3 linked regions of the Tribolium castaneum genome follow. The main gene of each other region encodes a partner of the protein of the gene in region 2 in a complex. Links are inferred from orthologs where the notes say so. Each region holds a gene or a part of one and is shown on either strand. Other genes may lie near its edges.

Region 1 (4,137 bases), on a different chromosome or scaffold from region 2:
AACAAGTATTGTTGATGTAATGTAATGTAATGTTTAGCATTATTACGTATCTTTTGTTATTAATTATTTAGCATGTATTTTACTTACCTAGTTTACATTAGTTTTGTTACCTTACTGGCAGTGATATTACATGAAATAATTATAACAAAAAATTTATTTAAAAACAATGTTCTTACGTTAAAAAATTGTTTAACTTATTTAAAAAATGTTTTTTTTTTTCGTTGAACGTCAGATATCATCATTTTGTAAATGATAATTTGCAAGATGAATCTGCTGAAAAATTTTTTTCCTATATTTCAAGAACTAATAATAATCAGCGTTTGCTTTAATTCCTTATTTTTTCTCTAAGCGTGCAAAGTTCTTCAGATTCCATATCATTCACAATAAAATGTTGTTAAGCTCCAAAATAACGTGAATTTTCTACGTATTTTTGCACAAAACAATATTTAAGCACCGTTTGCATTAAGGTATAAAAACTATTTTTTTCAACGGCTTAATATTAAGTCTTGTAAAAAAATTTATAGATAGAAATAACCATTAACTATTTAATAGCAAACTCAGAATTCTCTGTGATCATTAGTTTTTGAGATGAAGTAAAAACAATACTTTTGGCAGACTAATTTAGTTCTAAATTTGACAAAATTAATTTTTTAACGAAAGTTGACGTTACTTAAAAAAAATTCAATTTATTCTAACATATTCTTTAAAGTGAGTTATTTTGATATTTTGACGTATTTCATTTAGCTGTTTATGATTACTATTTAAAACCTGTAAAAAAGCAAGCTTATTTTACTCAATTTAGCCTAATAATAACAATATTTACTAATTAACATTAAAAGTACAATTCGTCGCATTCTGAATAACTTAAAACACTACTATTTCACCAAACAATGCGTAATTTGCCGGCAGATATCATTCAGACATTTCGCAATTATTTATTTATTTTTTTGATTTGGTGAATTGGCATCCAAACAAGAAATTTAGATTATTACATATTGTATTATTTTCTTAAATGATCCATTAATTTTATGAGACAAAATGCATTAATTATATTATATAACATTTGGAGAAAAAATTGCATATATTGCACGGCTCAGCCTTAACCAGCCTTAACCTTAGCCCATAAAGTTTTACTTATAATCTCAATAATATAATATTCTGTTTAGTATATATATAACAAGTGAGTAAGAAACGTATTCTTTCTAAAAAAAGTGCATTACTCCTAAGTAATACAAATTCTTACAGTCTGGAAATTAAGTAAAGCTAGTTATTCTCCGAATATAAAAGTTTATCTGATCCGACATAAATTACGATAATTAATTATTCATTTAATTGGGTGACAAAATATAACATTCGATATGTTTTACGTTAATTTGAGATAAAACAATTATGTAATTTTATTTTTTAGTGCAAAACTATGTCGATTTTCAAAAACTTTAACACATCTTTTCATCTTTAATAACTAAGGACCCGTTTATAGAAGCGTCATTAAGATAATCTGCAATTAAATGCGTGATTAACTGATCACGTGACCAAATTAAACCAATTTCATTGGTGTATTTGCGTTGTTAACGTTCAACAACGAATTAAAATTTAATAAAGCTTTCATAAGAGTTTTATAAGATTTTGGTGGTAGATTGACAAGTATTTATTCTGGTGACAGCTTTTTTCTTGTTTGTAACACTTTGTGATATCTTACCGACATGTAGCTTCTCGTTCCGACGAAAGAGTTCGCCATCGAGTCTATAAGTTGTCCCGAGACCCCAAAATCACAAATCTTGATCTCGCCGCTACTATTAATGAGTATATTACTGGGCTTAACATCGCGGTGCATAATCGCGTGTTTATCCCTCAAGTAGCTCAGCCCCTTCAAAACCGCAACGGTAATCTTCCCGAGTATATTTTCGGGAATCCGTCCGGCTTTTTTAAGAATTAAGTCTAAAGACCCAGCGTCCATATACTCCATACAGATGCTGATCTCCCCATCGCTGTAAAACGCGCCGTAGAAGCCCACAATGTGCGCGAAATTGCACTCGTGCAAGACTTTCAATTCGCGAATTATCTGGAGTTTGATCGCCTGTTTCACCTCCAAGTGGATTAATTTCCGGGCCATGATGAGCCCGGATTTATGGCGGACTTTAATAACGACGCCGCCGTTCCCCGACCCCAACTCGCCCAGTTTTTCCAAATCGTCGTCGCTCAAATCACCCCCGATTTTCTCCTTCTGGCACAGGAACACCTCAATGCGCCTCCTCTGCGTGGCGTCCATCTCCAAGCCCTCGATCCGGGCCGTTAGGTTGTCGATGCTGGAGCCCCCGACGTTGTTCGACCTGAAACTGCCCTCCAGTTTCGAAACGCACGGAAAAGACACTTACGGGGCTGCGGCGTCCGGAAACGGCGCACTTGTGGGGGTCACCGTGGGGGTTTGGTCCAGCGAACCCGGGGGGAGGGTCAGGTTTAGCTTGTTCTTCGACATCTCTCCCAAATATTACACTTGTATCACTGATTAATTAACGGAAGGGACGTTGACACCCATAGATAAAAAGCCTCAAAATATCAACATTATCTACCAACTTTTTAGAATTATTTTTGGTTTAGCGAAGAGACTGCAACCGCGAACATTGTAACCAGTGGTTGTGTTTTGACTGTTTTTATGTTACACTTATTGTTTTTACGTAAATAAAGAAAAAAACACAAGTAAAGAAAACATCTGACATCAGTCAATTATGTAGTTCGCTGGAGTGACACGGGTGGCGCTCGCACCGTTCTTATAATTCAATGTTATTATTGTTATTGCTACAAATTTTTATTTATAAACTTAGCAAAATAGTTGCAATAAATAAAATAATAATAAAACAGTTTTTGTTGTTACGTAACTTGTATAGCGCCACCTGTGTTTGCGATACCACACTGCGCATTCCTAGTTGCAACACCCTTTAGTGCCTAATATATCGTTGGTGCTTTTGGTACAAGGTGGCACTAGAACGCCGGCTGAAATTATATATTCAAAATGTGATAGAACAGATTTTATGAGAGGATAAATAATTGATAAGTAATTATTCGGTACCAAAGAAGGGAATTTTATGTGATATAGTATTATAAATTGAATAATAAATGTATGCAGCGTCATCAAAACCGCAACATTAAAAATTCATACCATAGATACACGAATTGAGCCAAATGTCCGCCCTGTTCGATTGTATTAATTAATTTTGGGATAATGGAGGAGTGAGAAAAATTCGGTTCAATTCAAGTGTGTGTTTTATTTAGTTTAGATACAGTCAGTCATGCATAATTACAATTTTTCGTACCAGCTTTACAAAATATTTAATCCTGTACATGTGTGGTAACTACAGTACAACCTCTTTTATAAGAACCTGATGCCACCATAATCACCTGTCTCTTGCTATGGATCATTTTTCAAAAAAATCTTAGACAGGAAGATTTTATTTTCTTGGATGTCGTTTCTATTGGAAATAATAAAGCAGTGATTGATAATTTGACACAAAAGGCTTTATTTTTTGTTCTTGTGTGTTTTTTTGCTTATATTTTTATGTTTAAGTTTCAAAATTAAAAAATTATAATAATTATTAAAAAAAATAGAAGGTGTCTACTAAAAGTAGTGGTTCAAAACACAAAAACCAGCGTTTGCAATTAAATATTTTATTTTTATTCTCTATGCATATGACCTTTTAAAAATTTTTTTACCCTTTCTTATTATTTGAGGCATTTTACTTGAAGCAGACAACCAAAAAAAAATTTACAACCTAAGATTCGGTCATATTCGGAATAATTGGTTTTCTAGAAAGAATGATTGTTAATCTAAATACATAATGATTTTTTATATGAGACTTATTTTTGACTTATATTCTTATAACTAATGCACAACAAGATATTTAAAGTTGGGCTTTTGTTTAGAAAATTTACTGTTCTTTTTAATGCTGAAATTATTTTTGGAATTTGAATTTTTTGTACAAAACTAGAAGTGAAGTTTCAAATCCAAATTTTAGTAACTTGGACAACTTTTTCTACTATTTTTATTTTAAAAAATAGCTTATAATATAAAGATTTTACACTATAATTCGCAAAATAAAATTTCTATCCGTTTAGGAGATGCAGTATTTATTGCAGTATGTG
Region 2 (4,188 bases):
TCGGGATCAGTCTGTATAAATACATCAGTTTTGTTGGTTTGATTACTTGTCTACAGACTGTTCAGAAAAGCAAAAAAATATCAAAATTTTGCTTGTAACCTTTGACAATAGTCCAATTTTTAAGTCCCTTAAGGCTAAATTTAAACAACTATTTTTCGAAATTTATTCGCGGTTATAAGGTTTACGGACGTTTGTAAAAGCGGCCCTAACACGTACTTTAACAGTTTGATGTCAAAGTTCTTGATAAGTTTTGAAATTTTTTAAAAGTAATCTCGATTGCATCGTAGTTATTAGTAAATTACTCAAACACAAGAGAATTACAAGTGTGCTAAAATTATTTTAAATAAAAACCCACATATCTGATATACATAACTATCACTGGAAGTTAACTGATTAAAACTACCATGTAATCATTTAAATTTATAATAATAGTAGGCTTTAATATTGATTAACTTGTATGATACTTGTAGAATACGTTTTTTCGCTTAGTTTCTAAATTAAGCAATCACAAAAAGGACAAACCTTGTTTTTTTAACAGGCATAGGCGTTATAACATTGTGTAAAACAACATAAAAGATTAAGACATAGAGGGACATGGCGAATTTGAAAACCTTGAACCATAGCAAGTCCTAAACTCCCTGCTTTCACAAAATACTAGCTTCGCAACTACAATAAATTTATTTATTATTATGATATACCTATTAATTACTGCACATTATATTTAACTCGTCTTCATGGGATTTTCAATTACATCCCAAGAACCGTTATCATCTCCAAGGACGGTCTTCATCTCCTAAGTTTGTGTGATCCTTCTTGGTGTAATATGATTATATTAATATCTAGAAATCGCAATTAATTGTTGTATAGACACCTTTCAATAACGTTTACCTTAATTTGCCTTAAGTTGATTCATCCTTCATTAAAACACTGTCATTCACACTATACACTAGATTCAAATAAAAGATCCATATAAAAGTAGAGATGTTTGATCACAAAAACATCCAAAAAATCACGTTAAATCGTTTTCTGAAGTCTTTAAAACACATTAAAACAAAATGTCGCCAAAAACCACAACGACAGCAAAATAATCGGCTGTTGATAAATCAAAGAATTAAAGAGAGAAGTGTGCGCACGTCGATTATTTTTAAGTGAACCTTCTTTACTTTTAGCAAAATGTGTGACAGATTCCTTTAAATTTACAGATTTCTTTGCAACTGACGCGACCTCTAAGCTGGAGCACACGAACTATTTTAGCCATTTCCCCCCTTTGCCCCACCCCTCCTAGTGAACACATAATTTGTATACACTTTCAGGGGCCTGTTTAAAGATGGCCGATGACAAGAATCGGTATTGAATGAAAAATCAGCGCTAATACAGCTGTAAAACTGTAAAAATAGTGATATGTAAATATTTATGTTATTGAAACTAAATGTAAATATTAGTCTGTAACTGTACTGTGATATGGCCGATGCGGAAGCGGCGGACAGAGAAATAAGGAATCAGCTCGATATAATTCAATCCATGATTGATGTTTCTGCTCAACGTTTAGAAGGGCTCCGTACACAATGTGCAACAACCGCAGAACTGACCCAGCAAGAAATCCGGACCCTGGAGGTAGGCCCCCCTAGCTCGCAACCCCATCGAACCCTTCATGTTTCAGGGCAAACTCATCAAACTCTTCTCTGACCAATTAATCAAGAAGTTGGCGCTTCGGAGCGGGGGCGCCGACCAGATCCCCTCGTTGATCCAATGGCTGCAAGTTGTGGGGCTCAGCGGCAACTCCATCCAAGGGCTGTGCCAGAAGATCTCCACCGTGGAGGAGCTCCAGGAGAAGTCCGAGCATGAGCTCAGGACCATCCTCAACGACCGTGGGGCGCGCCCCGAGGAGCTCAGTCGGCTGTGTCGCGCCCTCCACAACCTCAAACGCTACACAGGTGCTTCTTACATTTTTGTTTGGGTGGGAATTCCATTCATTTAATTTGTTGTAGATGCACTCAAACGGGGCGCCAAAGACAACTCGGACATGCACCTGTATTGGGACTCCTGGGACCGGCATCAGAACTTCAAAGTCGGGGGGCTGTCGCCGCGCACGAGCAGGACACGGGCCGCCAGGGCTTCGGTCCCGTCAGAGGAGAGTCTTTGCAACAATAATAATCGTGGAGGTGCGATCCCTCCTTCCTCCTCTGTGTCTAGCATCAATTCTCTGAATGCTGATCGGTGTGTGCTTGGGCCTCCCCTTACTCCCCCACCTCTAAAGGGGAAAGGTACGCATGACTCCGCATGGGACCCCCACTGTTTTTGGACCGTTGGTTTGACAGTTTCAATGTTTTTTAAACTAAATGTACCCGGTGGTAAAATAATTGCCACCCTACATATGTTTTTAATGCAACAAAATCAGTGTTTTCGGTTATTTGCTGACAATTTTTTTTATTTGAAACAAACTATTTTCTTGATGTTTTTTCGAACTCTAAACTATGCAGGTGTTTTAAAGATTTTCTCAATTAATGTCGTCTTTGGTAGTGATAAAGAAAACTACTAATTAAAAAATATGAGAAATAGGGTTTTTGTTTTGGTGAGAAAAATGTGTAAAAATATTTAAAGGTGTTTTTTTCCGAACACTACTCATCGAAATGTTGATTTTTATTTTTTTCTGTAATACTGGTCTGCAAAAAATTTCTTATTATTATGCATTACATTTTGATTACAGGTTGTTGAAAGTGTTAGACGTCGTTTAAATAAAAGATTCAATTAAAATTGTAGAGGTGACACATGATTCAGAACAAAAACACTAAAACTCCAGATGATGTTGGACAAAAAAAAGGCTTTTATGAAACAAATTTATGTTGTTACACGAATATCTGGGATTTGATTGTTCACAAAATTTATAAATAAAAAAAACGACTTTATGATCTAAATTATTTTGGCCTAATAGCGTCATACTTCTTGAAACGTTCAATGATTTTTTTTACCCATAAACGACTTAATTTTTTATGCTCGAAAATTTAGAATACAATGTATGTATGTGCGTACACGCAGGGTGGCTTTTAAAAACTATAAAAATAAGCAAAAATAATTTAACTTGAATTATTAGAATGTTTAGGAGTAAGTACTACATAGGTAAATTAGCGATAAGAATAACACCTAATTTTTTGAGATATAAGTATTTTAGAGAGTTTTGGTAATTAAAAAAGACATTAAAATCAACAGCAAATTTTAGAAAAATTTTGCCGGCAGCTGGAATGAGCGTCGTCGTTGCCGGCAGCGGAGGTGAATAGACATTTAATAACAAAAATTATGTTTACATAAACTTTTTTGTAATTGATTTTTTATGAAAATCGTTGGTTTTACTTAAAACTATAACTGTGAATTTAATGACTGCGATAATAATTTACAACAAATGTTATAATTCGTTCTAAAACACTAAAAATCATTAAAAAATGTATGTAGTTGCACGTTAACAATATTTTTTTGCTTCATATTTTCTGTTGAACTTTCAACCAACAAAATTGCTATAATTGACGATCTTTGGATTATTTCCTTTTGTATCGTCTCTCATTATGTGTAATATGTCTTGATGCCATCTTTCTTCACATTTATTGATACTACGGTAAGATTTTCGCTAAAGAAATCTAAGTGGGAATGATTTCCTGGTAGTTCACAGCTTTTTTATCTTTCTAGGAACTGAAATAGTTTTATAAGTACGTACAGTCACCATCAAAAATCTTGATATAAAGTAGGTCTGATCTTGTAAGATTATACAATCACCATAAACCTGATTATCCGTAGTTAGGACCATCTATTGTGCAGGTATTAAGACCCACGCACCCTTGCAATAAATTACTTTTCGAATACTGGCAAACTTTTCGAAGACGGCAAATAATTTTCCTAGTTCCTAATGTTTTTAAAATTCACAATCAGCATAAGTATCTGTTTACAAAGAAAAATAATGACTGTAAACACCGATTGCAAGTATCAGGTAACTAAATAAAATCATTGTTTATATAAAACACATTTATTTTGTGCGGACTCGAATTATTCCGTTCTGGACCCTATGACAAGGGTGGCAGTTCAAAATGTGCCTGAACAATTTACGACTGGGGTTTGTTTTTAATAGGATATCGGCTACATTTTAAACAATAGACCAATTTTATGATCACTGTATAATCTTAGGGAATCAGGGCGACTTCC
Region 3 (3,655 bases), on a different chromosome or scaffold from region 2:
TATTCCAAATTAAATTCTGCTAGCAGTGTTTACTTATTAAATATTTTCCATTTAAAACCCTCTACACTTAAAACAATTTGTGGTGTCCGATTATAACAAACTCAGAAACGAGTATATCAATATCAGTGCGTTATATCTGAGATTCTCTGTAAGTGGTTGATTAAAAAAAAAGTGTATTTTTAGCAGTTCTTTTTAGTTTACATAACGAAATAAATAAGTATTTTAAAAAAACATAAACCCTCTGTAAAATAGTAATAAGTACATAGTGTGTGAATTTGATAGTTATGCAAGTATTGTAAAAAAAGTGATAACCTTATAACAGAGCCCAAAAGAAGTGAAAATAATTCAATTTGCATTATACAAATATTTACAGTGTCTGAAAAGGACCACAAACAAATAATTAAAATAAATATGATCTCTCAGTTTATACAGAGTTCTTTAAAATTTATTACATTGACTTAAAATTAGAAAAAACATCTACAGAAAAGTCCTCTCATAAAAAAATTATAAAAATGTAAATTTTTTTGCGAAGATACCACCACCCAATATCATTCCCTCAAATGTCATCGCCTGTTAGAAATGTAAGCTTTGAAATAAAATACTCAAAAAAAACAAACCCTGTTAATATTAATACTTTATTTTAAGAATCTTTCAACGCTAATGTAGAAGTTGCACCTTCTACATTTTTAAAAAATCGCTAAAAACATTCGTTGATTTATTTTGACTTCATTTGAGCTCTACTAATATAAAATATTTGCACAAATATAAAATTCATACTGTAATTATGTTTAAAAATACAATATGTTCTCATTGGTTAAAATATTTTCAGTTAGTAATTTAATAATCTGTTCATCAGTTCAATTATTGCTTTATTATCAACTCCAATATATTCTTCAAAATTCGGTCACAAGTTCATTATAAATGGAAAACTGCATCACATTTTAAGTCAAATCTTAATTCGTTATATCTGAAGGTTCGTTATAAGCCGGTTCTCAATAAACGGTTAAAAACTATATTGAGCTTATGTAAAAAAAATTACAAAAAAAAGAACTTTCAAAAATGGTTAAATACCAAAAGAAAATTTTATAAATACCAAAAACATAATAAAAAATACTAAAACTAAAGCAGCGTTGAAAATTATAAAAAAATATTATAAATAATATAAATACAAACAAATCGAAATTAGTATTAAAAGGGTTAGAAATTGCTAAAGAAAGTGATCAAAATTCAGTAAACAAAATGCAAAAATATAAATGGTAACAGGTATACAATTTCTTCTCAAGGGGTGAACAAATCCATGTACAGCCGCCCAAAAAGTCCATAAACGAACGCCTACTGAGCAAAGTCGATACCTTGACCAAAACCAACCCCTGAGAAATCATTAAAGATCGTAAACTACTTTTGAATTTTCAAACTACATTTGAATTTTTTAAATGTTTAAGGATTTCTTGTTGGAAATAGGTATTGGTTTGGATAAATATGAAGTAAAACAATTTACAAGTTCATCGCGACACAATCTTTTGACGCTTTGACAAAAGGTAAAACTATATGGGAAACAATGGTAAATAATAATTAAGTCACGATTGAGTTCGCAAATTTTCAAGCAAAAAAGTGGCTTAATCTTATACAATTTTTTATTTACAAAAAATTAGTGGGTAACTCAAATTAAAAAGATTATTTTTATTTTTTGGGAACTTGCTTTTTGAATTTCAAGAACATATAAAAATTAGACAGATACAAAATACAGTAACAATTTAACAAGTACTTAAATAATTTATTATTTGGAAATTTATCAATTTGAAAAAAAATTTTGGTTTTAAGTCATCTCTTGTGGTATTAGGTGTTGTTAAATATTTCCAGTGAACCATTGCACAAGGTAATGGTCAAAATTTTAATCAGAGTATTTCCATAAATCAATTACTCTAACGTTCTCTAACTTATTCTGGTTACCAATTTTTTGAAACATTTCATAAACAAAAATGTTAATAAAACCTATTGTGTGATTAATAACTGAAACGATTAAAAATATAAACGTCTTAATTTGAAATGCAATTCATTGGATTAACTACATTTTTGTTTTATCTTGTCTTATGCATAATAAATTTTGTATCGAAAAAAAATAAATTACGTGTAAAAACTATCAAATTTTTGATTATAATTTGTAGCAATGAGATTTTAGGAATAATAATAATTGATTGATTTTTTTGTTAATCAAATGCTTTTATACCCTAAATGAGTTTCACAAAGTCTCAATTGAGTTTTTGTGATATACAGCGTGGTCCTAATACAACCTGCCAAAAAAGTCATTAAAAAGATCCAGCAAGTACGGAAAACATTTTTTTGTTAGGTCAAAAATATGGAAATAAATCAACCCCTATCCATATACATTAGGCACTACTGATCACAGTCATAGTCGGAAATTAATTGTTAGTGTTTATAAGAATGACATTATTTAAGTAACCATGTTTACCTTTTAATCCCCATTACATACAGCAAAATTTGATCTAATTATCAATAATTTTTATTTCAAAAACGAAAAGACTTTCAACAGAAAAAAAATGTGCATGAGTCTTGTTTAAATTTATCTTAGTTTGGAATTATAATAATTTGTATTTGCAATTGTTTCTTAAGTGGGATTACGTTTTGATATTGTTTTTTGACATGTTCAACGTCACATGGTTTTATCACAAATATCACAAGTGCAATTCTATTCTATACTTACTTGCAGTGATTGTGTTCTTCTTTTTCCCTGCCTTATTCTTATTGGAATAAATCATGGCACGCACTATCGAATTCGTCGGCGAAATTTTACTCTCACTCATATTTTTCGGCACCTCAAAACTTGGCACAGATTCGCCAAAGTCCGATTTTTTCGGAGTCGATGCCGTCTTCGGCTCAAAAAACTTATTTTGTAATTTATTGCTCTCTTTAAGCAAAGCTGGTGATTCAGGTGGCTTTGAAACCGTAGTTACTTCAGTCGAATAAGTGTGTTTGGTGTCAAGATATTCGAAAACGGTCGATTTCGCCGCTAAATCCCCTTTCAATTTTTCCGAAATGTTGGGTTTAGGTGAATCGATGGGATAAGCCGGTTTGTTAAAATCGACAACGCCGAAGGTTCGTGGCGGAGGTTTTGGTGGCAAATCCTCGTCGATTCCTTGCTTAATTTCAGTTTTTTCAGTGAGAGTGATTTTGATTTCTTCGACGACTGGCACCGTTTGGGTCAGTGGCAAGCTTATGGCGTCCACGATAGGGATTCCGAGTTCGTATTTCATTTCGGAGAACGGCTCGCTTTCGGAAACCGTACTAGTTACGTGTTCTACAATATGCGAAAATTACAATCATATTAACATAGTTTTTACTGTTTGAATAATAAAAACTACTGTGCTAACCAAAAATATATGCCAAAAACAGTTACTTTTAAAACTCCTTGTATACATTTTTTATAAATTAAAGATGATTAAAGAACGCATATCTACCAATATGTTATAACTTATTCTGTTAGATACAAGTTTAGAAAGTTATCAAACCAGGTCTCAATTACTTTATTTCAGCCAGAACATTTGAAAGTCAGAAACTTACTAACTTTTAAACTTTTCGTCGAGACGAGTCAAAAAAAATCTTAAAAAAATAATATAAACAATAATTATAAACGTCG

The links.
Region 1: the proteins of ksr (region 2) and Dsor1 are in contact, whole or in part, in a cryo-EM structure (PDB 8BW9), measured with the Drosophila melanogaster proteins. The link is inferred for Tribolium castaneum from reciprocal best matches to the Drosophila melanogaster genes ksr and Dsor1. Residues at the interface, in NP_001287177.1 of Drosophila melanogaster: Gln767, Tyr828, Asp830, Met831, Gly832, Leu833, Gly834, Val835, His837, Arg849, Ala850, Leu851, Gln852, Asp888, Gln889, Pro890, Ala891, Glu892, Ser893, Ile895, Trp896, Gln897, Gly899, Arg900; in NP_511098.1 of Drosophila melanogaster: Gly98, Gly99, Lys123, Asp236, Met238, Ala239, Asn240, Ser241, Phe242, Val243, Gly244, Thr245, Ser247, Met249, Arg253, Leu254, Gln255, Gly256, Ala310, Met311, Ala312, Ile313, Phe314, Leu317, Asp318, Val321.
Region 3: the proteins of ksr (region 2) and cnk are in contact, whole or in part, in a cryo-EM structure (PDB 8BW9), measured with the Drosophila melanogaster proteins. The link is inferred for Tribolium castaneum from reciprocal best matches to the Drosophila melanogaster genes ksr and cnk. Residues at the interface, in NP_001287177.1 of Drosophila melanogaster: Arg900, Gly901, Met902, Lys903, Gln904, Ser905, Leu906, Ala907, Gln910, Ser911, Gly912, Arg913, Lys916, Asp917, Met920, Tyr925, Lys945; in NP_001286524.1 of Drosophila melanogaster: Lys79, Asn80, Asn82, Gln84, Leu88, Glu183, Asn187, Ile190, Gln191, Ile193, Ser194, Asp195, Pro196, Val198, Leu199, Gln200, Pro201, His288, Thr289, Met291.

What each region holds. Positions count from the first base shown.
Region 1 is NC_087403.1:8,130,295-8,134,431, reverse strand, and holds the start of Dsor1 (dual specificity mitogen-activated protein kinase kinase dSOR1), read right to left. Parts: upstream 2,839-4,137; 5' UTR 2,477-2,838; coding exon 2,376-2,476; intron 2,331-2,375; coding exon 1,700-2,330; intron 1-1,699. UniProt on the Drosophila melanogaster protein: Required downstream of Raf in the sevenless (sev), torso (tor), and Drosophila EGF receptor homolog (DER) signal transduction pathways.
Region 2 is NC_087399.1:8,293,424-8,297,611, forward strand, and holds the start of ksr (kinase suppressor of Ras 2), read left to right. Parts: upstream 1-1,316; 5' UTR 1,317-1,461; coding exon 1,462-1,614; intron 1,615-1,660; coding exon 1,661-1,934; intron 1,935-1,988; coding exon 1,989-2,264; intron 2,265-4,188.
Region 3 is NC_087398.1:13,503,674-13,507,328, forward strand, and holds part of cnk (uncharacterized protein cnk), read right to left. Parts: intron 3,317-3,655; coding exon 2,723-3,316; intron 1-2,722.